Oryctolagus cuniculus: one gene and its partners. The protein of the gene in region 1 purifies or fractionates together with the protein of each later gene. This does not show direct contact. Links are inferred from orthologs where the notes say so. Each region holds a gene or a part of one and is shown in the gene's direction. Other genes may lie near its edges. The genes, in order: BRK1, ABI1 and WASF2.

Region 1 (9,773 bases):
GTGGCGCTGGCCCGCTGTGTTTTTTAAAAAATTTTTGAAAAATCTATCAGTGTAAGGCAAAGGAAGGAAAGGTAGCATCAGACTCATTGGGTTTGTGTTTATAATGTGTGTTTTCACATTATTGTGAGTTACACCTACAACCTAGTTACAGGAATGTTTCTCATCACGTGACATAGGAACATTGGGAGACTCATCAGCTGCAGTGCCTTCGGGTCACATCTTCTGCCACAAATCGCAGTTTCACTGCAGGTGTTACTGTTTCTACCGCCTTTGTACCCCAGCCGACTGAGGAGACTGGTTCTGCCATGGATTTTAAACTAGCCCTTGACCTGCTACACGTATGTCATGTGCTCTGGCCCCCAGCAGTCCCTTCTCCTCCCTTGACACCCTCGCCTGCAGCTCATCGTGTTCTTAGGCGGTCCAGTGAGTTCACACCGGGCTCATTGTGTATATGGTTTGTTTATTGGTTCTTTATCCCATGAACAAGTCAGTGCTAGTGTGACCCCAAACGGCTGTTAACTTCGCCGTGGAGATGGTCTCCCTGGCTCTGTCACCAGACACAAGGGAGGAGCTCCTGAACTGTCGGCGCCTGACAGAAGGGCAATGGCGCAGCGGGGTCTGTGTGGACACAGCAGGGCCGCCGTGGCGAGCTGGGTCAGCGGGACCCTTTACTTGGAGTGCTGCAAGGCGAAGGTGCACTTCTTGTACGTCGCGTACAGCAGGAGGATCGAGCGCAGCATCTGTTTACACATCGTCACTGTCATCTCGATCTGGGGCTCCTTGAGCCCCGTGGGCCACTGGTGCTCCCTGCTGATGATTTTGCAAAAGGCGGACTTATCTGAAACGCGGAAGGTTCCGGTCCACTTCGGTGGCTGAGCTGTGATGACCCTGCCAAAGACAGAGTCCACGCCACTGAGGCGGACAGGCTGGGGCTTCCTGACGAGCCCTTTCTTGATGTTCATCGTGCGGAGCTCGGATGTGTGACACGGTAACTTGGGGCTCACTCCAGGTTCCAGGAATGGGCTGTCTAGGACCAGAGTGACCTCTTGAAAACACAGCTGCACTTCAAGGTCAGAAGGGGTGTGCGGGAGGCAGGGGGAGGCCCTAAACGGGTGCTTGGAGGAAGGTGTAGGTGTCGTGTGCCGCAGCCATTGGAAGCTCTCGTCCAGTGGGGTCCATGGTGACCAGAGCTGGTATCCTGCCATTGCGAGTCCTAAAGGAGAGGAATGAGAACAGAGTTTCTCGGCATGTTTTTGGTAGTTCAAACACATCCCTTTGTGCCATGGCTGACACTGGCTCTGTGGTTCCCGCAAACAGGCCCAGAGTCAGGGTGTGTGAAGGGCACTAGGGGACAGGAACAGGTATTGAATCAGGCAACGCAACTGCTGTGTGTACTAAGACTTAAACTTGAGCGATGGCCTCTGAAGATGGATTTTTAGTTCATTTTACAGACAAGGAAATGGATTTGTCTAAAATGGAATGGCCGGGTCTGCGACTGGGACTTTGTGGGGTTGGGACTGCTAATGATAGAGTCTACACCTCTGAGATGGCCTGTTTCAAGACCAGGTCTCTCAGAGGTGTGCTCTGCCCAGTGGGTCTCCCAGTACGCTCCCACCATAGTTTGTGAGGCAGTACCGTTCATTTTTCAAGCGGATCTGTTGGTGACATCTTGGACCCAAAGACCCGCCCTGAGGGTGGTTAGTATACAGATTGGCGGACTGCCCAGCGGGGGTGTCCCCACGGTCTGTGCTTGCCCTTCCCAAGCACTGGTGTTCAAGCGTCCGGCCGCCTTGGGAGGAGAGACAGACGCGGTCATCCTGCGGACGCCCCCGGGGCCACCCTGGTGGCGGGGACCCCGGGCAGCGCGGGGCGGGGTGGGGGGCTTCAACTGCTCTGCGCCGAGGACCATTAGTTTCCTATTCCTGACTCCGCAGCCGGACACGGGCCGGAGATGAAAGGCTTTGCAAAGGGCAGAACCGACTTCCCGCCGAGGTCTCGACCCCTTCGCCGGAGGTTTAAATCAAGATGGTTCGCCCCGTCCCCGCCACCCGGAAGTCTGTTCCTCCCGGACAAAACCGGACACTCTGTCCCCCGACGTCCCCGCCGGGAGGGGCCCCCCGAAACCCCGCGGGAGGAGGCGCTCGTCCGTACCCGGGGGCGGGGGCCAGGCGGCTCCGGCCGAGGCGCAGGCGGCTGCGGGAGCCGGGCCCGGTCCCACCATCGGGCCGGCGGCGGCTCACCTGCTGGACTCCGCGGTCCGCACGCTCCAGAGTGGCGGCCGCGACTCCGAGCCGCATCTTTCCTCCGCGGGGCTCCTGGCAACCGCCTTTGTGACCCGGGGCCGCGGGGGAGCCCGAGCCACGGGCGGCGGGCAGGGCTCGAGGCGGCCGGCGGGCAGGGAGCCCCTCTCCGCCCATCGTCGGACGCCCGGAGCTGGTTCGAATCCCGCCCCGGGCTTCCCCGCCTGTTGCACACGGTTCGGTGCCATTCTTAGCTGAAGAGCGGACACGGTCATCCCAGTGGGAGTGATGCGCCGGCTCTGACGGCGGGCATTGCACAGCTGCGCGGTGTCAGGCAGCTGCAGCCCAGCGCGGGGCAGCGAGCACTGGGCACTTGCCGCGGGCTGACCGGTGCCCGCCTGCCCCTCCCCGGTCGGCGTGGAAGCACTGGGCACTTGCCGCGGGCTGGCCGGTGCCCGCCTGCCCCTCCCCGGTCGGCGTGGAAGCACTGCGCACTTGCCGCGGGCTGGCCGGTGCCCGCCTGCCCCTCCCCGGTCAGCGCTTGGCGAGCAGGGTCACCGTCTGGCCCTGCAGGTGAAGGGATGGAGACGCGCTGAGGGGCTGAGGTGGGGTCAGGCTTCGGGAGACCACAGCGGCTCAGAGGCCTGGCAGATCCTTGGTCTGTGTGTGGCTCATAAATTAAAAACAAAAACACAGGGGTGGGAGGCCGGCATTCAGCCCATGCCCCAGCTCGGGCGACTGGGTTCCTGCCATGCACATGACACCCCTGGGCCGGGTTCCCCGCTCAAAGCTCGGCGTGGGCACTCGAGGACTTCAGCAGATGCGGGCCCTGTCTCCCCCTCCTCGCCCCTCTTCCCCTCGACCTCTTAAAGGGGGCAGTGGCTCCTCTTTTAACCCATGCTGCCTTAGGGGAGAGCAGGTCTCTTCGCTCCCTGGGACAGGCAGCTAGGGGGACCACAGCCTCACCTGGCTGGGGCAGCGCGGGCCGGGTGTATTATTGCTTTAGGAAATTGTGTGACTACAGGGGAGCTCGGACAGGCCTCCTGCCGTTCTCAGGGTCCAGGGAGACGTGGACAGTCAGCGGGACAGGGTTCACCTGCCGGCGACGACCCTGCGGGTCCCGTGAGAATCAGCTGCAGACACATCTCTACAGGCGTCCAGGAATCAAAGGGCTGTGCGCACTGGGGTCTTCCCCGTGACTGCCAGAAACACGGATCCCTCCGCTTTTTTTTTTCCTTTTTATCAAAGGCATTTCTGCATACCAGAAAATACTCCTTGAGACAAAGGTAAAATTGCACGTTATTCCACCGCCTTAACAAGCCCCGCACTGGTTTGGGGTTACACTCGTCCCCACCTATCAGACATGATTTTTGCCTAGTGGCAGTTATTAAAAATGTGCATCGTTTTCCCCCTCGGTTTCTCCAGTGCGCCCCGTTCCCGTTGCCAGGTGCTCCTAGTTAGCATCTAAAGGACAGTATAGTATTTTATTATCGCCTCGGCCGGCTGCAGCAGATCAGGGTACAGAGCGCATCTCTGCCTCGAGTGGTCTGTGTCCGTAATTTTCAAAAGCGCTGGGTTACGTAACCGCTCCGTTACAGAGTTCCTCCTGAGCGGCCCGGGCTCGCCCCCGCCGCCGCCGAGTACGATCAGGCTCTGTTCCCTCGGCGAACGCGGCGTATCGCTGCGGCCACCTGGGCGGACGCGAGGGAAGCCCACGCGGCCCCTAACGCCCACAGCGGCCCGCCGGACGTGGGCGTGCGGCGCCCTGCGCAGGCGCACAGCGCTCCTCCCCGAGCCGCCGCTTTGCTTTCCGCGGCGTGGGCGCCGGGTGCAAACGCAGGCGCGGACGTGACGCTGCGCAGGCGCATCACGAAGCCCGTGGAGTCGTGCGCGCCCGGGGCGGGTTGGGCCTGGGGGCGCAGGCGCACTGGCTGCCTGTGGGGGGGCGGGTGTCGCGGCGCCTGCGCAGCCACTCTTCCTTCGGCGGCCGCCATGGCGGGGCAAGAGGATCCGGTGCAGCGGGAGATTCACCAGGACTGGGCGAACCGGGAGTACATTGAGGTCATCACCAGCAGCATCAAGAAAATCGCGGACTTTCTCAATTCGTTCGGTCCGTGGGCGAGCCGGGGTGGCTGGGCGGTGGGGGGCCCTCCGCGGCGGCCCGGCGGGGACCCTGAGGGGGCGCTTGCGGCCGCGTTCCGGGGTTCGCTTCCTGCTTCAGGCCCCACCTTCCCGCGTCTCCCTGGCCCTCGGGCAGCGCCTGGCCGGCCAGGCGGCCCCGTCCACCCGCGCGGCGTCCGCTTCCATTGCGCCCCCTCGCTGCTCGGGGGGTCTGCTCCGCGCGCTCCGGCGGGCCCCCCGTGGGCTGGGGTCGGGGCCGGGAGGTCGCCGGAGGTGGCGCGCCGTGGGCCCGGCTCGCGCGGCCGAGACAGCCTTGCAGGAATCCGGGCGCGGCCTGCCCGAGAGCCCGTGAGCGTTCCCTCTGCCGCCCCTCGCCCCGGCCGGCCAGCGCGGGGTGCGGAGGGCAAGAGTGGCCTGTTTCCTCGAAGGGTTCTTCTGTCTGCTCGTTGAGCAACGTGAAGCCCTTCCGGTTAAACGGGAGAAACCTGCGTGCACGTGTGTCATTGCAGAAGCGTTTAGAACGAGTCAGTTCCCCCCGCCCGCCCCCAGCTTCCATCCGCTGGCTCGCTCCCTAGATGGCCGCAGTGGCCAGGCCTAAGCCAGGAGCTTTGTCCGGGTCTCCCACGCGGGTGCAGGGGCCCAAGCGCTTGGCCATCCTCCACTGCTTTCCCAGGCCATTAGGGAGGTGGATGGGAAGTGGAGCAGCCGGGACGCGAACCAGCGCCCGTATGGGATGCCGCCCCGCGGTGGCAGCCCTGGATGAATTATTTTCTAGGTGGTGAGGCGAGAGCTGAGCGAGGAGCCGGCTCCGAGGTTGGGGGAGGGCACGGGAGGACCATTTGCCTCCCTCAGAGCTCTTGTCTTGGTCACACTTTCTAAGGATACTTCTGTTGCATTTGTAAGGCGGGGAGGTCATCATCTTCTGGTTAGGGCCGGAACAGGCTGGAAGCGGGGCCAGGCACTCGGCCTGTGGCTCTCACGCGTGACAGGAACCCCTGCTCGCTCCCGGGGTGTGCGTTAAAGGGGAACTGGGGTGGGAGTGGCGTGGGGCCCCAGCCCCGCAGCCGGTGCGGTGGCGTCGCAGTCCCGCCCTGAGCAGGGTCTGACTGAAGCCGAGGCCGGGACAGCGTGGAGGAGGGGACCGTGCGGAGGTGTGGGGGCATGGCGAGGCCCTCCCTCCGGAGGCTGGGGCTGCAGGCGCTGTTCCTGGGAGGACGGGCCAGGCGTGGGTGTCCGTGGTGTGTGTGAAGGGCGTGAGGTGCTGCAGAGGCTGGTGGGAAACAGTGAAGTGAAAGGGACGTAAGTGAAGCAGTGTCTTGGAAAAAATAAATGGCAAGACTGGTTTTAGTGAACTGACAACATGTGGGAAATACCGACTGACTCGCCCGGCTCCTCTGGGTTTCCTCAGAATTTGTAAAGTTCTGTACAAGTTGCTTCAGTATGATGTTTCATTATTCTCACAGTTGGTTCTCCTCTTTCCCAGATAACTGAAATGTTAAGGGTTCTTCATAGCATTTTTTCCCCCAAAGATTTATTTATTTATTTGAAAGAGAGAGAGAGAGGTCTTCCATCCTCTAGTTCAGTCCCCACATGGCCATGACGGCTAGAGCTGCGCCAATCCGAAGCCAGGAGCCAGGAGCTTCTTCCGGGTCTCCCATGTGGGTGCAGGGGCCCAAGCACTTGGGTCGTCTTGCACTGCTTTCCCAGGCCACAGCGGAGAGCTGGATGGGAAGTGGGTGGGATGCTGGCGCCGCAGGCAGCGGTTTTCACCCACTGCATGATGGTTCCGGCCCCTTCACAGCATTCTTCACGCAAAACCTTTGTTAGAGAAGGACTACGTGGCAGAAACCAAAATATTCCATGCAGGGGACCGGTCAGGTTGATAGGTGACAGGATCCTGGCTTTGAGACTTCGGAGGGCAGTAGTTGGAAAGATCACTGACCTGGGACGTTCTAAGTTGGTCTGAAAAAGCAGAATGAAAATACTTGGTTCATACGGTTGTGCTTAATAACTGACACGCACCCACCGAGTACTCATCCAGGTTAAGGTCAGTTCAGGCGCCCGAGCTTCGGACATAGCAAGCTGGCTGGGGCGGCTTTTCCAGTGTGGACGTGTCTAGCCCCTCAGTCCTCCAGCTGGGGTCTAGGCAGTGTGGTAAGTTCACCTCTGAGCACAGAGTCGTATCGTGTATCTGTCTTGAACCCTAGTCCCACCAAGTTGGCTGGGTCTTGGGGCTGACTGAAATGGAGGCGTGATGGAGGATGTGCAGGGGCACAGTGTTGCTTTCTTGCCGTCTGCGCTCTGGCGGGGTCACATCTGCTCAGTTAGAGGAGGGATTTGCTGTTCTGTTTGGGATTTCCACCAGGGCCGAGGCCGACGAAATGGACATGCAGAATTTTAATCTTCAGGAGCCAGAAAGAAATAGCTTCTCATGGCTGTTGTCCTCCACTGAAATGATGATGGTGGCCGGATGTTTGGTGTCGTTTTTGAAAATGTTAGAGAATGAGTTTAGTACTGAAGAGTTAGAAATAAGCACAGTGTTACGATGGGTGCAGGGCTGAGCGCCATGGCACCGCGGGGTAAACTGCTGCTGGACGACCTGCGGCCCCCGTCAGGGGGCTGGTTCAAGCCCCAGCTGCGCAGCTTTTGGTCCTGGGAGGCAGCAGGTGGGGACTCAAGGACTCGGGTTCCTGCTGCCTGCCTGGGAGGTCTGGATGGAGTCCCTGCTCATGGCTTTGGCCTGACTCAGACCTGGCTGTTGCAGTCATTTTGGGGCGTGAATCAGTGGATAGAAGATTTTTTTCTTTCTCCATCCCTCTGCGTTTCAAATAAATAAGTAAACCTTTGGGGGAAAAAATTTAAAGCATCTGGAGTGGGTGTTTGGCACGGTGGTTGATAGGCCTCTTGGGAGAGCCCCGCGTCCGTGTCGGAGCGCCTGAGGTCGGGTCCCAGCTCTGCCCTCCGTGTCGGAGCGCCTGAGGTCGGGTCCCAGCTCTGCCCTCCGTGCCGGCTCCCTGCTGCTGTGGGTCCTGGGAGGCCAGCGGGTGGTGGCTCAGGGACTCGGCTCCCTGCCAGCTGTGGGAGACGTGCTGGGCATTCCTAGCTCAGCAGTCCTGGGTGTTGCAGCCATTTGGAGAGTGAGGCAGTGGGCGGGAGATGTGTTTCTGCCTTTCAGATGAAATGAAATATAAATTAATAATACATTTTTTTAAAATTTAAAGCAAATTGACTTAACACTTAGGTGTGTCTGAGGGAAGTTCCTGAAGATTGGCAGTGTAATGATTCAAGAGTTTAGACAAAGACAACAGGCTGAGAGACTGGTTAATTCTTCAGATTGGCCTTGAGTGCGTGGCTTTGGCGTTGGATGACGTGGGGTGAAATTGTGTGGGCTGCATTTTCTGCTCTCAGTGCTCAGCCCCCGCCATGTGGCTTTGTCCTGGGTTTATGTGAATTGGTGGTGTGGAGTCAGGAGGAGGTTCTGGAGGTCTTTGAACCTGGCAGCAGGCCTGTGGTCCTCACAGCTGGAAAGGGAGCTGTTTTCCCAGGAGAGCTAATGGCTTTATGACCAGCTTCCTCCCTGTAGGCCCGGCTGGCGAGAGCAGTCAGCATGTGGATCCCTGGACAGGCACATCGTGATACAGCGGTGCCCTCTGAACACCAGGCCTGCTCTGTGCTTCGGAATTAATAGTCACAGATTATAGCTTTCTATTTTTACACTTTTCCCCAATTCTAAAGCTAATACTTGCAGAGAATTACAAACAGAAAAGAAAACAAATGCAGCTATTTCTTAAAAATTGGTTTTTAATGCTTAGTCAACAAGTGTAACATGCTCGTGGTCCATCTGGGTGTCAGGTTCTGAGAAAGGAGTAAAGAAGAGTAAATGGAGGTAGTGCCCATTCCTGGAAGAAGGGTAGAATTTTTTTTAAGGATTTATTTATTTACTTGAAAGTCACAGTTACACACACAGAGAGAGAGAGAGAGACAGAGGTCTTCCGTCCGATGGTTCACTCCCCAATTGGCTGTAACGGCCGGAGCTGTGCCGATCAGGAGCCAGGAGCTTCTTCTGGGTCTCCCACATGGGTGCAGGGGCCCAAGGGCTTGGGCCATCTTCTACTGCTTTCCCAGGCCACAGCAGAGAGATGGATTGCAAGTGGAGCAGCCGGGACTAGAACCCGCGCCCATATGGGATGCTGGCGCTCCAGGCCAAGGCATTAGCCCGCTGTGCCATGGCGCTGGCCCCAAGAAGGGTGGAATTTTGTTAGAAAAATAAAATTTAACCTGCTGTTAAGCAGTTCAGGGACAACATGGTGTCGGTGTTTGTAGTGCTGAGGTCGTACGTACGCAGTGAGAGTGTGGGAGAGGGGTCCTCTGCGATTATGTAGGTGGGATTTGTTCAGCTGCTGCGTGCTCTCCTGATCTGTTTGATTTGAACCAGTTAATACTTAGTGGAAATAGGACCAAGCTTTGTAGAGTTGAACATCCTCTACTTCTCAACAGTATTTATTCATTTAGGCCGGTAGCATAGGATTGGTTTTTTTGTTCACTTGTTTTGAGAGGCCGAGGGTCAGAACTCCCATCCACAGGTTCTCTCCCCAGACGCCCACAAGTGAAGCTCAAAGTCAGTTCAGTCCAGCTTCCCGTGTGGGTGGCAGAGACCAGATCACTTGAACCATCACCTCCTGCCTCCCAGAGTCGGTATTAGTAGGAGAATGAAGTCAGGAGCCAGGGCTGGGTGTCAGATTGAAGCATTCATGATGCCGGACACACTTGTCTTAACCACTAGTCTGAACGCCTGCGCCCTTAGCATTGTTCTGAGCTGTGTGATTCGTGACCAGATTGACAGCCAGACTGAAGTGCCGGCCTGGAAGGAGCCCTCCTTCTCACTTCCTCCCCCTCATTGTTTTGGTGTGTCTGTCTGTCATGGGAAATGACAGGTTGTGCAAGATAACATTCGTGCTGTCGCTAAATAGCTTACATAATGTGCTGTGGAGCTCCCAGAACCAGGGAGCAGACATTTAGGCAGTCGTGTCTGAGAAGAGGGATACTGAGGAGCCCCGCGCAGCCAGACCTCCAACCAGCAGGTGAGGACGAGTGAGAAGGAAGAATATCCGGAATAGAAGTTTCAGCCTCAAGCGGTGGTGGTTTCTGGAACTGCCGAGGCCGGATGGGAGGGCGCACAGATGCAGGTTCCATCGGGGTTGATGGGAACGTTCACAGAGCAGTTCATGGTCATGGTTGCACAATGCTAACTGTATTTTTACAAACCACTGAATTGTGTACTTCTGCGTGGATGTAAATTACATGTAAATCAAGTGACTTTTAGAAGGATAATGGGGTGGACGTTTGGCCCAGCAATTCAGACCCTGGATTGGGATATTGGATTTCATACAAGGATCTGGGTGGGAATCCCAG
Region 2 (9,786 bases), on another chromosome or scaffold:
ATTGTTATATTGAATAATGGTATCTTGCCACATGTTTAATTTGTGTTTATTGAATGACTAATGGCATTTAAAATCATTTTTGTGTTCGTTTATTTGTCCATGTATCTTGTTTGGTGAAGCATCTGTTCAGATCTTTGGACTTATTTTAACAAACTGGTTTATTTGTCATCTCATTATTGAGTTGTAAGAGTTCTTTATATGTGATGATTAGTAAGATATTTGTTTTTCAGATTTTTTCCCCCAGTCTGTGATTTGCCTTTCATTTTCCTTCTTCTTTTTTGGGTTTCACTACAATTTATTAGTATGTGTCTTTAGTACATGCTCTGTGCTCTTGATGTACAAAGCCTGGATGTTGCCAATTCTTGAGCAAGGACACCAGGCTGTTGATAGCCAGGTAGATATTATAGACAAGCTCATTGTCTGTCATCTCTTCATGGCCAGTGGCCACTGGCAGATACAGCACCTGCTTCAGCTGGAACTAGATCGTGGACTTTCTATCTCATTGACTCTGGTCACTATGTTCTCATTGTGGGTCAACAGGGAAGGAAACTTCCCAGTATTATCCAAACCTGGGTCCATGATTAATGGAATCTGTTTGATTAGAGACTCTGAGTTCAAGAAGGCATCTACTCTTTGTCTATCTTCTCAACTAACTTCTTATTGTTGAGTTTTTTCAGCATCTTGATGTCCCCTGCTGGAAACATCCACAGCCTTTGCCTTGTCACACTGCTGTTCTCCAGGGCACTCACAAAGAACTTGGGGTAGAGGGTTAAGTCTGATGGTACCTAAGTGATTGCTTTAGAGTTGTGGTTCTTTGAGGACATCTGCAGCACCCCTGTTTGCAACAACTTCTGTTGCCTGTGTTCAGCTTCCATGCAGGACTTTTGTACCACCTCATAAAGAATGTCCTGAGAGACTGTGCTGCTCACAATAGCGTATACCACAGGGACTGAGGAAGACAGCTGCCTTTTCATTTTCTTAACAGTGTGTGTATGCTAAAAAATGCATTTTAACTGATGCATAAAAATGGTACATATTTATGGGGTAGCATGGAATGTTTTGAATACATTGTATAGTGTTCAAATCAGGGTAAACATATATATATATGCACACACGTGTGTATGTGTGTGTCTGTATCTCCATTAACAGTGTATTTTGGAACACAAATGTTTTACATTTTTCTGAAATCTAATTTGTTGTTTAAAAGAAAATCACTTGTGAGGGGGAGAGAGAGTATACAGGATAGAGAGAGAGGAAGGAAGGAGAGAGGGAAGGAGGGAGGGAGGGAGAGAGGGTGGGAAGAAGGAAGGAAGGAAGGAAGGAAGGAAGGAAGGAAGGAAAGAAAGAAAAAGAAAAAACAGATTTCGTGTCCACTGTTTCATTCCCCAAATGCCCACTACAGCTGGAGCTGGGCGAGGTGAAAGTCAGGAGCTGGGAACTTAATCCAGGTCTCCCACGTGAGAGGGAGACCATCACCGCTGCCTCCCATGGTGCCCATTAGCAGGAAGCTAGAGTCAGGATTTGGTGATGGGCATCAAACTCAGGCACTCTTAACCATTGGGCTAAGTGCCAGCTCCATGATCATCCTTTGAATGACATTTGCTTGCATTTAAATTCTAGGTTGAGAGTTGTTTATCTTCAATGTTCTAAGGATATAAGTCCTTTATATTCTGTAGGTCATAAAGTCAATTTAATGATCTTTACTAGTGTTACATGAAATAGAATAGGAAATATCAGAGTATATCATTTAGTTTTGTGAAACTTTTCTATCTCATACATTTTATACATATACATATATATATTATAGGTCATTGTACATTGTTATTTCTTATTTTGAATTGTGTCAAATAAAAGTTGAAAGCTGTTAGAGAATGGTACTGTGCTTTATGTATTTTTTAAAAAAGGTTTGTTTATTTGAAAGGCAGAGTAACAGAGAGGCAGAGACAGAGAGGGAGGAGAGAGAGAGAGAGAGAGAGAGAGTTAGTCTTCCATTTGCTAGTTCACTCCTCAAATGGCCACAATGGCTAGAGCTGGGCTGATCTGAAGCCAGGAGCCAGGAGCTTCTTCCAGCTCTCCCACATTGGGTGTAGGGATCCAAGGACTTGGGCCATCTTCTGCTGCTTTCCCAGGCCATAGCAGAGAGCTGGATCGGAAGTGCAGCAGCCGGGATTTGAACAGGCACCCATATAGGAAGCCGACACTGCAGGTGGCGGCTTTACTTGTTATGCCACGGTGCCGGTCTCTGTTTTGTGGTTTTATTCCTACAAACTCATTTATTATTGGATCAAATGAAGACATACTGTTTTATTTATTTTTAAAAAGATTTATTTACTTGAGAGGTATAGTTAGAGAGAGAGAGTGAAAGAGAGAGAGAGGAGAGAGAGAGAGGCAGAGAGAGAGAGAGAGAGAGAGAGAGAGAGAGGTCTTCCATTCATTGGTTTACTCCCCTAGTGGCTGCAACAGCCAGAGCTGAGCCATTCTGAAGCTAGGAGCTTCTTCCAGATCTCCTTCGTGGATGTCAAGGACCCTAGGACTTGGGCCATCTCCTACTGCTTTCCTGGGCCATCAGCAGGGAGCTGGATCTGAAATGGAGCAGCCAGGATTCAAACTGCTGCTCATGTGGGATGTTGGCGCTGTAGATGTGGGCTTAGCACACTAAGCCATCCCAGAAACTTTTTAATTTGGTTGAGTTATATTTACTACTCTAGATATTGTGGTTCTAAGTGTCTTCATAGAGACATGAAAATATGGACTTTCACATTATCTTCGTTTCGTCTTTGGCCTCAGGAAAACACTTTTCTTGGTCCATTATGTCAAAAGTATTTATGTACTGACTGTACTGAAATATAGGGCCGTTTGAACTTTTCCAAAAAAATTGATGATAAAAACAAAAATGACTATGTGCAACCAAAAGAAATAAGGAACTGATGAGTTTAAAAGTTTAGGAAGACACAGGCAAAGGAGCGTTAGAGAAAAAACCGAGGAGTGCAGGAGAGCGCTACAAGTGATGTACGTTAATATAAAAATTGTGAGTTTCCACAGGAACACAGTAGCTTCCTCCCTAGAGTCGCACCCTCAAACTGGCCATCAATGAACGTTTGCTAAATTTTAAATGAATTGGTGGAGGCGGAAGTTTAGGAAGGAAAGCCCGAGTCGCGCGCTATTTCTAAGGAGACAGAGGAAATAAAGACTTGGAGTTTCCTCACTTAAACGGATATCTCCGATTCACTGACATTTCGTAATTGACCAAATTCCTCCAAGTTTCACACAGCCCGGCTCTGGCAAACACCCTCGCTCTCAGGCGCCACCGTGCGGAGCTGGGAGGAAATTCTGGGCTTCAAACCACCACGCCCCGACGGCGTTCTGGACGTTCCTCGGGGTTGGCGGTCCGGGATTCCCTGGACGCATGCGCTCTTGGCGGGGAAGCCGAGCTGACGGGACTACAACTCCCATAAGACCGTGCGAAAGAAACCCCGCCCACGGTGGTGGTGGTGGGTGGTACGCAGAGAAATGAAAGCTCGCGAGACGTGGAGGCGGCTGCGCGCAGTGGGCGGAGGGCGGGTGGAGAGAGTGAGGAGGAAGAGGCGGTGGTGCCGTCCCACAATACCAGGCGGGAGGGCGGGTAGGCGGTGTGTATCCGGGCTGTGAGGTGCTGCGAGCCTCGGCGGACCCTGCTGCCCCTGTCTCTTTCACGCGCGAGGAAGCGATGCGGAGGGGTGGAAAATGGCAGAGCTGCAGATGTTACTAGAGGAGGAGATCCCGTCTGGCAAGAGGGCGCTGATAGAGAGTTACCAGAACCTGACCCGGGTGGCGGACTACTGTGAAAACAACTACATACAGGTGAGGAGCGCGGGCGCTCGGGGGGCGCGGCGGGGGGGAGCTGCCCTCCCCTCAGCCCCCGACCTCAGCCCCGACCTCAGCCCCGGCCCGGGGGAGCGCGAGTGGCCGGCCTGAGGGAGTCGGGCTGCCATACAGGAAGTGGCTGCAGCCCGAGAGAGAAAATGGGCGAGGGAGCCGGGAGCCCGCCGCCGCCGCCGCCGCCGCCGGGCGTCCCCCCGGGGGTCGCGCTGTCCCCGCCGGCGGGCCCCCGGCTGCCGCGGGGAAGGGAGAAGCCGGGTGTGTGTGTGTGTGTGTGTGTGTGTGTGTGTGTGTGTCGGCCGAGGGTGGGGTGGGGGCGGTTGTGTCAGGCCGGCCCAGAGGGTGTGTCTTTTATTTATTTATTAAAAAGGGGAAAAAAAAATTTTTGTCATGAGTCACAGTACGCAGAGCTCCCCGGGGGAGCGGAGGAAGCGGGCGTGGGGGGCAGAGAAGTGGAGCTTCAGATTCCTTTAATCGACGGCCGCCCGGCGCTTCTCCGGTGGGGTTCGTCCCCCGCCTCGGCCCTTCTCACTTCCGCCTCCCCGGCGTGGGGCGAGGGCTCGTGGGGGGCCGCCCGTCGCGGGGAGACCCGAGTGGGGGAAGCCACTCGGGGGAAAATGTCTTCTGATGCTCGTTCTCTTACCCACCCCTCGCCACCCCAAAAAAGTTCTTCCGCTGCGGGTTCCGTGAGGGACTGGACGAAGCCGGGTGTCCCCGGCGGCCGCTGCCTCGCCGAGGGTTCTCCCTGGCCAGCCGGGAGGCGGACCCGCCACCGGGCAGACGCCAGTGTCTCAGGAAAGTCTCGAGCCTCGTCAGTGACACACGCTCGTCTGGGTTGACGTTAACGTCTGGGCGTGCGGTGGTTCGGTGTAGGGATCGGGGTGATCCGGCCGCCTGCTCGGAAGCTCCTAAAGTAGCAGAGCCCTTTGTGTGGTTGTAATGGGACCCAGAAACGCACTTGGTATCGGTAAGGCGAGACCAGAACGTGCTTCCGTGAGGGCAGGGTTACTGCAATTCCGAACGAGAGCATGTATGGGAATAGCTGCCGTGTAAATTCATCATTTTTAAGAACCGGTAGCCCCAGTGTTAGCAAATGCTTTGCCTCTGTGTTTTGGAGAGAGAGAGAGAAACTGTTTCCAAAATATTTTGAATATTTCGCAGTTTTCATATTAGTGACATTGTATCTTCAGTAGCATTGCTAGGAACTTATCTTCATCATTTTTCCCCCAAGCTTTTACTTTGGGAATTCTGATAAATGCAGTTGTTGAACTCCTGCCACGTCTACTTTATTACTTATTTTTGCAAACTTTATGTTCAGTCTTTAATTTTTTTAAATCTATTAGAAATGTTGTAGTTTGCAAATAGAAAGGTGATTTTGTCATTTGTTGATATTAAAAATATGTGACTTTCATTCAGTTTAATGTGAAAAGAATTGAAAATGAAGTGAACCTTCATTTGCTGGAAGTTTGAGAGATTTTGAAAGTCAACGAGAGAGTCCAGGAAGTTAGATGGCTCTTTTGCTAGAAAAGGCATTTCTTTTCTGTGAGACTACAGCAAGTCCTTCATAAAAGGGTGGTGTAGTTTTGTTTTGCATGTTGGGAAATCTTACAAGTATATGGTGTGGTAACTGCTAGGTGTTGGCAAGTGTTGGTAGCTGTAAACCTGTTTTAACCTGTCTGTTGACTATTTCTTTTTCAGGTAGTATATGTTCTCATGCTTTCTGCCCCCCCTTGCTATGCTCAGCGTGTAACTTTGAAGCACCTTAGAACTTCATTGCTAGCTTTCCTCCTTAAGATCAAGCTACATCATTTCTCATGTAATTTTTCACTTTAACAAGTATAGTACCCTGGTGTCAAGAGGCACTGTCAGTGACCCTAAATTTTCTTGGTGCTCCTAAGGCTGACAGCAGTGAGGTGTTCTGATTTTACTGTTAAACGGGAAATTCTCAATACCTTGTAGCCTTTAGATTTGGGCTGTAGAAACCAGGCCACTAGTTGCCTTCTGAAGTGTTTCAGAGTCAAACTCACACAAGTAAGGAAATGATGTAGAAGTTGATGTGGTTGATGGTGCTGCTGACTTTGGTGCTGCTGACTTTGGTGCTATGGGGGAACAAGTATTACTAGAAATACTCATTCGACTGTCTATTGAGATCTTTTATAATCTTTCCATGGCCCTAACTGTAACCAAAACCTTGTGTAAATATGAGGAATCTTCATGAAACAGTTATATTTTAGAATTTAGGATTTTAGAAATTTAGAATTTTTTTGCACCAAAATAAAATTATCTTTTCATTTCTTCACAAACCTTTTGAAGTGTCCCCATCTACTGCCTCTCAGGACAAGTATGTGGTCACTTGCGTTTTGAGCAGTTTTTAATACCCAGTTGATGTACAGTTACTATGGTGATTTCTCTTACCCTGAGAATTCAATTTTCATTTTGTTACTTTTCCTCCAGTTTGAAAGTACAGTCCAGTTCAGTTAAAACGCTTAGCTGGAAGTTCTTTTGACTGCAGTACAATTGAATCTTTGGAGCAGTTTATTAGCTCTTTGGATTCTATTGACTCTAGCTGCTAAATTGTATTATTAATAGTAAAATTTCTCAAAAGACTCTACTATCTTAAAAAGGACAAAGTTTTATTTATTTGAGAGGCAGAGAGACAGAGCAAAATAGAGCTTCCATCTGCTAGTGTCCTTTCCATGCCTGAAATAGCCCTGGGCTCAGGACTGAAGCTGAGAGTTGGGGACACGGTCCAGGTCTCCGAGGTGAGCCATCACTGCAGGAAGCTGGAGACAGGAGCCTGGCCAGGTGTTGAATCTAGGCACTCCACTGAGGGGTGTAGACACCTCTACCAGAGGTGACCTGCTGGGCCAGAGGGCTGCCTCCAAGGACAGGATTTAAAAATTGTTACAAGGCAGATTCCTTCCTTCTCTATCTCTGCCTTTCAGATAAATAAATACTTATGAAGCAAATAGAGTACTAAGAGTAGAAGTGTTTTTATAGGAACATTTACATAGACATGGAGAAAGTTTTTTCCTTTTTTCATCTTTTGTTTGATATGCCCAGACTGAGTTTTTCTGGTGGATTATGTCAAGGATGAGTATCATCTAGCCAGTTCTCCTTGCTCTACGAAAGTGTTCATACCACTTTTTTTTATTTTTTAATTTTATTTGACAGAGTTAGTGAGAGAGACAGAAAATTTTTCCTTCTGTTGGTTCACTCCCCAAATGGCTGCTACAGCCGGTGCTATGACAATCCAAAGCCAGGAGCCAGGAGTTTTCTTCCCTGTCTCCCATGCGGGTGCAGGGTCCAAGCACTTGGGCCATCCTCCACTGCCTTCCCGGGCCACAGCAGAGAACTGGACTGGAAGAGGAGCAACTGGGACTAGAACCCAGCGCCCATATGGGATGCCGGCGCTGCAGGCGGAGGATTAACCAAGTGAGCCACGGTGTCAGCCCTCATACCGCTTTTGTTACGGGAAACTATTTGGGAAACAGGAAGGAAAGCTAAGAGAACAGGAGTAGAAGCTGCTTAAGGAAGGTTTCTCAGTATGTGCACTGCCAGGCTGGCTAAGGACAGGAGAATCTTCATTGATTGACTTTTAAATTTTATTTTTCTGTTTGTAGTTCCATCAACAGGAACTCATTTGGATTAACAAGTAGGTTCTAAGGTTTGGGAGCATAAAGTCACATGCTACTGTGAGCTACCTAGTTTAGTTTTTTTTTTTTTTTTTTTTTTTTTTTTTGACAGGCAGAGTGGACAGTGAGAGAGACAGAGAGAAAGGTCTTCCTTCTTCCTTGTCCGTTGGTTCACCCCCCAATGTCCGCTGCAGCCAGTGCACTGCGTTGATCCGAAGCCAGAAGCCAGGTGCTTCTCCTGGTCTCCCATGGGGTGCAGGGCCCAAGCACCTGGGCCATCCTCCACTGCACTCCCTGGCCACAGCAGAGAGCTGGCCTGGAAGAGGAGCAACCGGGAGAGAATCCGGCGCCCCGACCGGGACTAGAACCCGGTGTGCCAGTGCCGCAGGTGGAGGATTAGCTTATTGAGTGTGGCGCCGGCCCTAGTTTAGTTTGTTTTATTCTTCCTGTGACATTTGCTTGATTTTCCACATTAGATCTTGGAAAGCAGGTAATTTTTGAGCAGCAGCACTTTGGAATAGGTAAAAGCTAGCATTTCTGGTTCTGTGCAGTTTAAGCCACTTTATAACAATAAATTATGATTTTTTTTCCCTAAGAGGTGAACAATCTGAGATTTAGAGATGTTAAATATCTAGCCGAAAGTTTAATATATTTTTTTTTTTAATTTATCTATTTGAAAGGCAGAGTTAGGGAGAGGTAGAAGCAGAGAGAGTGAGAGAAGGTTAGAGAGAAAGTCTTCCACCCATACTGGTTCACTTCCCAAATGGCTTCAATGGCTGGAGCTGGGCCAGTCTGAAGCCAGGAGCCAGGAACCTTCTCTGGGTCTCCCACATGGGGGCAGGGGCCCAAGGACTTGGGCCATATTATACTGCTTTTCCAGGCCATAGCAGAGAGCTGGATAGGAAGAAGAGCAGCCAGAACTTGAACCGGCACCCATGTGGGATGCTGGCACTGCAGATGGTGCAACAGTACAGCACAGCACTGCCCCTAGAGTTCAATATTTCGTAGGCCTGGATTCAAACCTCTGTTATTCTTTCAAAATAAATTTTAAGATTTTTTTTTTTTAAAGACATCTGTTTCTTAATAAAAATAAAGAATGTGGGGGGAGGGTAATAGAAGAGTAGAGGGTGGTATAGTTACTTCTGTTACTGAGCATCTACTGTGTTACTGTCTGCTGATTGTACCTTTTTTTTTTTTTAAAGATGATAAGCCTTTTTTTTTTTTTTTTTCTTTTTTAGGATTTATTTGAAAGGCAGAGTTACGGAGAGAGATTGATTGTCTATCTTTTGGTCCACCCTCAAAATGACCGTAACAATCTGAGCTGGCCAGATTGAAGCCAGGAGCCAGGAGTTGCTTCCGGGTCTCTCACGTGGGTGCAGGGGCACAAGCACTTGGGCCATCTTCTGCTGTTTTCCCAGGTGCATTAGTAGGGAGCTGGATCAGAAGTAGAGCAACCAGGACTCAAACCAGTGCCCATATGGGGTGCTGGCATCACAGGTGGTGGCTTTACCTGCTGTGCCACAGCACCAGCCCCAAAAAGATGATTTTTAATCAGAAATGAAATTTACTAGTGAATAAAAAAAGAAAAGAAAAAATCTTTGTTTGGTCCTATAGTAATTGGCAATCAGGAATTGTATCTCACTTTTTTTAAATATTTATCTATTTGAAAGGCATTTTTAAAATATTTATTTATTTGAAGGCAGAGTTACACAAAGAGAGGAAGGGAGAGATGGAGAGAGAGATTAGTTCCATCCATGGGTTCACTCCCCAAATGGCATCAATGGCCGAACCTGGGCCGGTCTCAAGCCATGAGCCACGAGCTTCATCTGGGTCTCCTATGTGGGTGTGGGAGCCTGAGAATTGGGCTCTCTTCTGCTACTTTCCCAGGCCATAAGCAGAGACTGGATCTGAAGAGGATCAGCTGGGACATGAACTGGCGCCCATATGGGAAGCTGGTGCTTCAGGTGGAGGCTTAACCTGCTACATCACAGCACCAGACCTGTATCTCACTGACAGAATCCATGGGTTATAACATACTATTTCTACATAGAAGAGTTGTAGAATTAATAGAAGTTAACAAAATCTTTCCTGAAATATTTTGGGTAAATTTGATTTCCAGGTTTGGGGAAAGACAGTCAAAATGATTGAAGAAATTAAGACAGGCTGGAAGATTAGAATACTTAGAATTGCACTTTGCAATTTAAATAAAACATTTGCTAGCAAAATTAGATATAGAGGTTGGAAATGTAAATTAACTAAGTAGTGGTTTACATAACTGAGGGAAATCCTCAGT
Region 3 (9,208 bases), on another chromosome or scaffold:
AGAAGAGTCTATCAAAAAGCTTACTCCCCATCCCAGAGTGGCTTGTGGCAACAGAAGCTACAGTTTACCCTGTGAACAGTTGTCATTTATTATTGTTTGGTTTCTGAAATTCATAGTGAATATAATATATATTGAAAGTTTGCTGTAACATTGCATCCTGCAGAGTTTAATTTGGTATAAACCAGGTCCATCTTGGATTCCATCCAAGGAATTTAGTTATTATAGAACCAAAAAGGACTTTTGTTATAAAGGCGGTCCTACAACGTGGATCCCAGGGGCAGCATGCTAGCAAGGCTCCCACTGACTTGGAAACCACTAGGTTACCAGATGTTTGGGCGTGTTAGTGGGGCCTGCCGCATGCGCTGGCTGCTCTGGCCCAGAGAGGTCCTTCCAAAGCTTAAGGAGCAATTGGCTTTCTTCCAGAGGAGTTTCGTTCACTGTGTTTTGAACATCCTTTTGACATTTCCTTCTGAAAAGGCCTGCCTTGCTGTGACTGGTCTTGAAAAAGAAGGTTGCCTTATAGATGACTTAAAGCCCCTCCCCTCTGGTGGTTTGGTAGTGTTGTCATTCTGCAAAAAAAAAAAAAACACACACACAAACACACACACACACACACAAACACTGGAGAGGGTCAGAAGGTGAATGTTTATTTTGCTTGCATTCATAAATATCTTTGGAACAGGTAAGAAGTAATTACAGGTAACAGATAGCTGGAGGCAGATGTCTGCTATCAGGCATGGCTACACCGAAGAGCAGAAATGTGTGTGGTGTATCCCTGTGAAATTCAGGGATGCCAGCCTGATTTAGGGGGCCTGGAAGCTTCTCACATATATGGCAACTCCCCATTTTGTTTGCCCTTAGCTTTCCAAGGGACCAGCTAGCAGAGCAGGACAGTTTGGACTCTGCAGCCTCCATCATTTATTTAGTCCAGCTGACTCAGGGACACGGTTTTGAGACAGGATGGGATCACACAGCTGATGTGTTGCATAGGATGGAATAAACAAATGACATGAAGAGAATTTTGTCAGTTAATGGCATTTTCCTTTGTAACATACAATAGCAGAATTAGCGTCTCTTCTTAGGTATCTGGAGTTGGCTTAACAGAAGCAAGAAAGCAGTGGTGTATCTCCTTCAGAACAAGAGTTACTGTAAAGTCTTACAGTTTAAAAAAAAGATTTATTTATTTATTTGAAGATCAGCGTTACACAGAGAGAGAGAGAGAGGAAAGGCAGAGAGAGAGAGAGAGAGGTCTTCCATCCACTGGTTTACTCCCCAGTTGGCCGCAATGGCTGGAGCTGCACTGATCTGAAGCCAGGTGTCAGGAGCTTCTTCCAGGTCTCCCATGTGGGTGCAGGGGCCCAAAGACTTGGGCCATCTTCTACTGCTTTCCCAGGCCATAGCAGAGAGCCGGATTGGAAGTGGAACAGCTGGGACCGAACCAGAGCCCATATGGGATGCTGGCACTGCAGGCAGCAGATTTACCTGCTACACCACACCACCAGCCCCAGAATAATATTAAAATAAGTGTTCCCCCCGAAGGCCATGCTTTCTGGACAGTGGGATTCCAACCAGGGTCGTTGGGTTTGGCCACTAGTTTATAATGACTCACAGTGCACTCTGTATTACTTTTGTAGCTACTAAAGATAGTGAGTGATAAGTCTTAGGTTCTTAAAACAGCTGACCATCTGTTCTCACCAGGGCCCCCTTGTGGTTGGGGGTATGGATGCTGTGCTGTGCTAAGAGGGAACAAGAAGGTGAGGTGCTGTGGTTATCTGTGTGCAGAGGAGTAACAGCAAGCACATGTGCACAGTTATGTATGTCTGAGGTGTGTGTGTGTGTGTGTGTGTGTGTGTGTATGTACACACAAGATCCTGCATGTGTATGCCCGGGTTTCAGGTGGGTGGAAAGCCCCTATCATTTCCTGGAGAGTCCTGGGGAATTGGAAGGGAAAGGGAAACCAGTGGCAGAAATCCCTCTGTTGTGCCAGGCTCTCCAGATACCTTTAGGGAGATGTCTGTGGCCATGCAAATGAGTAGAAATCATCAGAATTCCTGCTGTTGTAGTCTGTTCTTGCCCTGACCATGCAAATCCCTCTACCAGGAATTAAAAGTAAGGCTAAGGTTCTTAAAAAGCCAAATGAGGAGAGAGGTGCCATTCAGGGGCATTTAAGTGCTGGTATGGGAGAGGAAATATGCAATTGATTCGAATGACTTCTTGATTCCTTGGTGTAACAACTGTTAACTGGTAGGTGTTTGGAATATTGGATTTGGTTGGGAGCTCATCTGTCTACTGACAGCTGCTTGTCTTCATTTCTATCCCAGGGATGATGGAAAAGAGGCACTCAAATTCTACACCGACCCTTCATACTTCTTTGATCTTTGGAAGGAGAAGATGCTGCAGGACACCAAGGATATCATGAAAGAGAAGAGAAAGCACAGGGTGAGGGGAGAGGGGCCTCTGTTCTGCACATCAGTAGGCACGATTGTGGAGGGGGATAAAAAGGAAGCCAGCCTTATGTGAAGTGATTCCGGGTGGCTGCTTGCTTGGATGCCAGGTGAAACTCTTAAAAAAATGTGTCCTCACCAAGCACCACAAAGATGAAAGTATAAATCATACCAAAAATGTGTTTGTTCCCCCTAGCGCTATTAACAATTGAGTATATTCAGGCTGAGTTTTAGAAATTGACTTTTCTATTCACCATTTATTTCTCTTGCAATTTGCACCTGACTCTGCTGGACACTCGAGCCAGGCTAGGCCTTTCCCCACCAGTGTTGCAGCTCATTTCCCAGAGATGAGCACAAGGTTCTGTAGTAGCTGATTGGCGACAGGCGCGGTTTAACACCTTCACTGCTGGTTGGGCGGGGTCAGGGTGAGGGGAGGTGCCTAGGTTTTGGAGTTGCTCCCCTCTGCTTGGGCTTGGACTCCTGATGGTGTGTGTGTGACCTGTCAGTTGCGACCTCGCAATCCCATTAGCATGGCTGCCAGGAGGCCCAAGAGAGCGCCAGAGGCTAGTGCAGTGATACAGGCTGAAAATTTCTTCACTGGTTTTTGTTTTGTTTTTTTAACTATTTCCTTCTGTCTGTCCCAGATATCTGTAGCTATCATTACTTCTCATCTCTTGACTGACTTGTATACATGAGACAATAACAAATAGCTGTTCACTAGCTTCCTAACGATTAAAGCTGTTTAAAACCATGAATGAGTTATGCAAAGAAGTGGCAGCGTTGCGATTGCTAGAGGTGTTGGAGTACGTGTCTGAGCAGATATTTTGCCCGGGAGGTAATTTGGATTAGATGGCCTCTAGGTTACTCCAAACCCAGTAATTCCATAAATTCTCCAGGTACTTGGTATGCTATCTAGGCAGATCATCTCTGGGCTCTGTGTCCGTGAAGATGGGTAGGATTTTAATGAAGAACTTCGGAAAATATTTTGCAAAGGCTTTTCTATTCTTTTTCATTATAGAAAGAGAAGAAAGATAATCCAAACCGAGGGAATGTAAACCCACGTAAAATCAAGACCCGTAAGGAAGAGTGGGAGAAAATGAAGATGGGACAAGAATTTGTGGAGTCCAAAGAAAAGCTGGGGCCTTCTGGGTAGGTGATGCTTTTGTATTCTCAGTGACGTTCTTTGAAGGGGCTGGGGACAACAGTCTAACAGCTCTGGCACGACACCTTTCACAGCCCCTGAAGTCTAGCTGTGTGGCTTAAATCAATACCACTATTAATCAGCTACTTTAAAGTGCATCCATCCGATGATTAAAACTTGCTAAATAAATCAAGAGACTCAGCAATTTAAATGAGGTGACTGGAGTGGTCTGGAGCAGAAAGCCCGATGGCTTCTAGTGCCCTTCCTCTGCCAGACGTGGCTGTGTGAGAGGGCCTCAGAGGAGAGACTGCAAAGGGAAACAGAGTGGTCTTGGGGCCCCTTTGCCTCCAGAGCTTTAATGTGAAGGTCGAGCCTCCGAGCTGGGCATCGCCTAGGAGAGGGGCAGCCAGGCAGTGGAATCACGCACGTCACCAGAGCAGCTTTTCAGCCAGCCTTTGTCGGTCTTGGGAGAGAGGCTGGCTGAGGACTGAATGCAGACCTCAGAGACAGTGTGGGAAAGGCTGCTGGGCCAGCACCGAGGCTATATATCTCTGTGGAGAAACGGGAGATGTCAGTCTGACCCCATTTCCCAACACCAAATCACACTGGAGATTTAAAGGGGGAAAATGGTTTAAAGCTTGGTTTTATACCTATCCTGGTGTTTGACCTGTGTGACATTCGAAGCCGAGTCACCGTAACTGCTTGGTGTGAATGTCGCCCCGGTTTTCCTCAAGTATGTGGCATTCTGACTGTCAGAGAACCGTGCCAGCCCATGCCAGGTGTCTAGGAATGATAAAAGCAAAGAGCTGGGTTGTTCTTGCTTTTAGGAATAACTCTACCATGAAGATCTTGACTTTTAAAAATCTTGACACTTCTGACACTTGTTCTTTCTGGATTAAGAGATTTGTTATAAGGAGTGATGAACATGGGGAGAGGAGAAATGAACTTTCCCTGTACAGGGAAGTCAACCCCGAGGGCACCTTCATTACCTTCACCTTCCCCTAAAAGGGGCCATTTTGTTCTGTGGTCCCATCCTGTTGAGACAGGCATTTGTCATAGGCTCGGTGCCTCTCAGGCCAGGGAGCGTGCATCTTCAGAGTGCCCACTATTATGTGTGGAGTGGGGGTGATACAGATGGTTTTGCTTCCCGTCGCCCAGGATCTCTGGAGTTGGCCTGCGTGGCGAGGCTATCTGGACGTGCCTGCTGGTAAACCTGTAAATAGATGTGCCAGGCCTGCAGGACTCCAGGCCTGGGGATTTTCCACATCAGGGTGTCGTTCAATTCAGTTCATTTTCTGCAACCCTAGTTTCCCTGGGGTCTGTTCTAGATGAGTCCTTTTAGGACCCAGCAATGGTGGAAAGAAGGGGAGGTGGCACAGAGCAGGCTGTGTTTTTCTGACCAGTGCTCGGAGTTTGCTGTCGGAGGCTTATTGTTGTTCACTGGGAGCACATTCGCCCAAGGCCCAGTGCTCCGAGGGGCAGGCTCTCACGAGGCAAGCCCTAGCTAGCAACCTGTTTTAATCCGCAGCTCATTTCGTTTGATAAGAGACCTGGCAGAGAGGCCACGTTTGCTACCACACAGCAAGCTGCATTCATCCGTGGCTTGATTTTGCAATCAGATGCCTCCTTGGCCTTTGAGCACTCCAGAGGCTTGCCGACCTCAAAACCAGGCTGCGTGCTAATCACGTGTTTGCAGTCCGCCAGCCCCTCAGGCTTGGCTTCGCCCTTTGCCACAAGGCAGACTTTGGGATTCAGGTACAACTGCACCTAACATTTGGAAGAGAATTTTAAAAAATTTCTGGGTTTGAGAAGACCAGTACTGGAGAGCAAAAGCATGTTTGATAATCTGGGTCGAATCCTGTTTCCACAAACAATGAGGCAGAGATATCTGAAAGATATTTAACAACAGGATATTTACTCCTACAACAAAATTCAGTATAGCAGAAAGTAGATGTAGAGAATATTCTTATTTTACTTCTCCCTAATAGCTTTTGTATCAAATGCATTTTTGTAGTATCTTTTAAGAAGAAAAAAGTGTGCCCCTCGGGCTCTTTAAATGACAGCTTTGACACTGGGTTCCTTGTCAGGTACTCACCCACCTTGGTGTACCAGAATGGCTGTGTTGGCTCAGTTGAAAACATGGATGCAGGCAGCTATCCTCCACCACCACAGGCCGACTCCACCTCTTCACCTTCTCCTGCCTTCTCTGAGGACAACTTGCCTCCCCCACCAGCAGAATTCAGGTAAATCGTGGTTCCTCTTCCATCCACTCTGAGTGGTTAAACACTTAAGAATAAAATAAGGTTCAAAATCTAGGCCAGGACCACTGAAATAACTTTCAGTTGTGAGACACAGTAGGGTCAGTGAACTTATCTAAGGTCATACAGCCAGTTAGAGATGAGACAGAGCCATAGTCAGTCTGATTCCTGACTCTATTTTTTTTTTAAAGATTTATTTATTTATTTGAAAGGCAGCGTTACCAAGCAAGAGATCTTCCATCCGATGGTTCACTCCCCAAATGGCCAGGCTGAAACCAGGAGCCTGGAACTCCATCTGGGTCTCCCATGTGGGTACAGTGGCCCACACACTTGGGCCATCCTCTGCTGCTTTCTCAGGCATATTAGCAGGGGGCTGGATCGGAAGTGGAGCAGCTGAGATGCTAGCATAGTAGGCAGCAGCTTAACCCATTATGGTCCAATGCTGGCTGCTGAGCCTGTAGCCTTAACTGTTTTACCAGGCTGCCTATACCTGGAAAGATAGATGTCACCAACTTCTTGTTTTTTCTTTAGTTTTAGAAATGTTTGTTTATTTTTCTTTATTTGAAAGGCAGCAAGAGAAAGAGACATCCACTGGCTCACTCTCCAAATGCCCACAACAGCCAGGGCAGGGCTAGGCCAAAGCTGGGAATGAGGAACTAGGTCCAGGTCTTCCCATATGGGTGGCAGGGACCCAAGTATCTGAGCCATCACCTGCTGCCTCCCAGGGTGTGCATTACCAGGAGCAGAGTTAGGACTGAAGTGCAGTCCCTCTAGGATAAGATGCAGTTGTCCAAAGAGGCATCTTAATCACTAAACCAAACACCTTCTTTTTCTGTTTTTTTTTTTTTTTTTCTTCACTTGAGCGGCAAAAGGGCACTCCCATTCCACTGGCCTACTTCCCAAATGCCTGAAGTCACCCCCACATGGGGCCAAAGGTGGGAGCCAGGAACTCAGTCCAGGTCTCCCACTTGAGTGGCAGGAATCCAGTCACTTGAGCCATCATAGCTGCCCCTCTGGGTTCACATTAGCAGGAAGCTGGAGCCAGGAGCTGAGCCAGGTATTGAACCCAGGTACTCTGATATAGGACACAGGCATGCTCACTGGCATCTTAGCCACCGGGCTAAAGGCCCACCCCCTCTCTTGTTTGTTTTACTTTGCTTTAGCTCAGCATGAAATGAAGTAGAATGATCTGCTGTTCATGAAACAGTTAGCAGGGGCCTTGCCCAGTTGTCTAGGAACCTTGCAGATAGTCACTTGCTCTCCTGTGGCTTCTGGTTCATTTCGCTTCTGGGTAGAATCTCCAGAAAGAATGAAACAAAGGGACAAAGGGCATTAAATTTAGGATCTGTCCTGTTGGATATCTGTTCGTCTCCCTGGCACAGGTGCACAGGAGGGGCCAGCAGTCATGGCTGCGGACAGATCTGGGGGGTGTTTGGTATGGCACTGTGTGCTCGCTTCCTTTCCTCCTCTCTGATGCCTGACTCTTTGGACACTAAGGACCCCTCAGATGGAAACCTGAAGCTGTGCTGTCCTCCTCCATCTCCCCCCATTCTTCTTAGCCCTTGAAACTGCTAATCCCAAATCACTTCCTGCTGGTTGCCTTGTCAGATGCAGCTGAGGCCTGAAGGGCTGTGGAAAATTCCAAGATGGATGCTTTTCTAAGGAGTAGCTATTAGTGCAGGGCAGATACAAAGGTGGGGAGAAAGCCCTCAGCCTCACACATGGCCTGAGACCTTGCAGCTGCAGCTGAGCAAATCTGATCCCAGGAGAGGTGTAGCCTTAATCCTCTTTCAAACCTGGGTCAGGAGTCATGTGGCAGCTTCGTTTCCCGTCCCTGCAGTGTCTCAGATTGAGACTCGTTCACTCACAAGTCTTCCCCACATGAGCACTGAAGATGCAGTCACTTAAATCTATATCCTGCTTGGGTTTGGTCGCTTGGCTTGGATTTCCTGCCCTTACCAGATCTGGTGAATGTTAATAGCCTGAGAAATGGAGCCCAGTAGGTAGATGGTGGTTGAATTTGTATTCCAGTTACTTCTTGCATGCGCTCTGAATCTTGGCTCCAGGCTTAAACAACTGCCCATGGCTCACTCCTCCTAGCTGGGCTTCCAGAAGGACACCTTCCCCTGGAGAGCTGCCAGCCTAGAGGAGGACCTGAGAGCTCGCTCAGCTGGCGGATGGACGAGTCTCGTCCTCCCAGGAGTTAACCCTGACTCCTGACTGCACTCTTCTGGTGGTCAGAAGCTCTTTTCCTAATCGGGCTGCCCATTTCTTTGACAGTATCTGCGAATAGTTCCCCAGTTTTTCTTTATAACTGAGCCTCAAAGTGAAATGGAATAGTCAGCCGAGACACACCGAGACTTAGTGATAAGCCTAACCCTCGTCAGGGGAGTGGTGGGTGGCGGGGTGTTTGCATACTGAAAGTGATGGTTGGTCTTTTTTTCTTTTCAGCTACCCGGCAGACAACCAAAGAGGTTCTGGCTTGGCTGGAACCAAAAGATCCAGCATGGTCAGCCCAAGCCATCCACCCCCAGCTCCACCTCTAGGCTCTCCGCCAGGCCCCAAACCTGGCTTTGCTCCACCACCTGCCCCTCCTCCTCCACCTCCGATGGGTGTCCCACCTCCACCGCCACCTATGGGATTTGGGTCTCCAGGCACCCCTCCCCCACCTTCACCCCCATCTTTCCCACCTCACCCTGATTTTGCTGCTCCTCCACCTCCTCCCCCACCACCGGCAGCTGACTACCCAACATTGCCACCACCTCCCTTGTCCCAGCCAGCAGGTGGAGCCCCTCCGCCACCCCCACCGCCCCCGCCCCCAGGGCCCCCACCTCTCCCGTTCAGTGGTGGGGACAGCCAGCCTGCTATACCACCGCCACCTTCTGATGCCACCAAGCCCAAGTCCTCCTTGCCTGCTGTGAGTGATGCCCGCAGTGACCTGCTCTCCGCCATCCGTCAAGGTACATCCCAGTGGGGGGTCTGGAAATTTGTCTTCCTGAGCAGGGGTAACTGATGGAGACGAGGTAAAGGGAGCTCTGTGCTTTCCCCAGCTTCCACTGGAAGAGCAAGGAGAGAGTAGGCCTCAGGCCTCAGAACAGATTTCTTTCTATCTTGGTTTAAAGAATTTAAAATTTATTTTAAAGGTAGAGCGATAGATGTAGAAACAGAGAAACAGAGATCTTCCATCTACTGGTTCATTCCCCAAATATCCTGCACCAGTCAGGGCTGGGCCAGGCCAAATCCAGGAGCCAGGTATTCCATCTGGGGCTTCCACATGGGTTCCAGGGATCCAAGTCCCTGGGCCATCATTTGTTGCCTCCTAGGCACTTCAGCAGGAAGCTGGAATCAGAAGCGGAGCTGCAGCT

The links.
Region 2: the proteins of BRK1 (region 1) and ABI1 purify together in Homo sapiens (co-immunoprecipitation; 3 studies listed by BioGRID and IntAct, with this or other methods). This does not show direct contact. The link is inferred for Oryctolagus cuniculus from reciprocal best matches to the Homo sapiens genes BRK1 and ABI1.
Region 3: the proteins of BRK1 (region 1) and WASF2 purify together in Homo sapiens (co-immunoprecipitation; 3 studies listed by BioGRID and IntAct, with this or other methods). This does not show direct contact. The link is inferred for Oryctolagus cuniculus from reciprocal best matches to the Homo sapiens genes BRK1 and WASF2.

Annotation. Positions count from the first base shown.
Region 1 is NC_091441.1:116,684,233-116,694,005, reverse strand, and holds the start of BRK1 (protein BRICK1), read left to right. Parts: upstream 1-4,137; 5' UTR 4,138-4,232; coding exon 4,233-4,350; intron 4,351-9,773. Other genes in the region: FANCD2OS (FANCD2 opposite strand protein), read right to left, coding at 669-1,213, 2,152-2,221. UniProt on the Homo sapiens protein: Involved in regulation of actin and microtubule organization. Part of a WAVE complex that activates the Arp2/3 complex. As component of the WAVE1 complex, required for BDNF-NTRK2 endocytic trafficking and signaling from early endosomes.
Region 2 is NC_091444.1:103,265,104-103,274,889, forward strand, and holds the start of ABI1 (abl interactor 1), read left to right. Parts: upstream 1-3,514; 5' UTR 3,515-3,723; coding exon 3,724-3,840; intron 3,841-4,705; exon of another isoform or gene 4,706-4,825; intron 4,826-9,786. UniProt on the Homo sapiens protein: May act in negative regulation of cell growth and transformation by interacting with nonreceptor tyrosine kinases ABL1 and/or ABL2. May play a role in regulation of EGF-induced Erk pathway activation. Involved in cytoskeletal reorganization and EGFR signaling.
Region 3 is NC_091438.1:144,156,178-144,165,385, forward strand, and holds part of WASF2 (actin-binding protein WASF2), read left to right. Parts: intron 1-2,321; coding exon 2,322-2,439; intron 2,440-3,462; coding exon 3,463-3,593; intron 3,594-5,672; coding exon 5,673-5,828; intron 5,829-8,294; coding exon 8,295-8,803; intron 8,804-9,208. UniProt on the Homo sapiens protein: Downstream effector molecule involved in the transmission of signals from tyrosine kinase receptors and small GTPases to the actin cytoskeleton. Promotes formation of actin filaments. Part of the WAVE complex that regulates lamellipodia formation.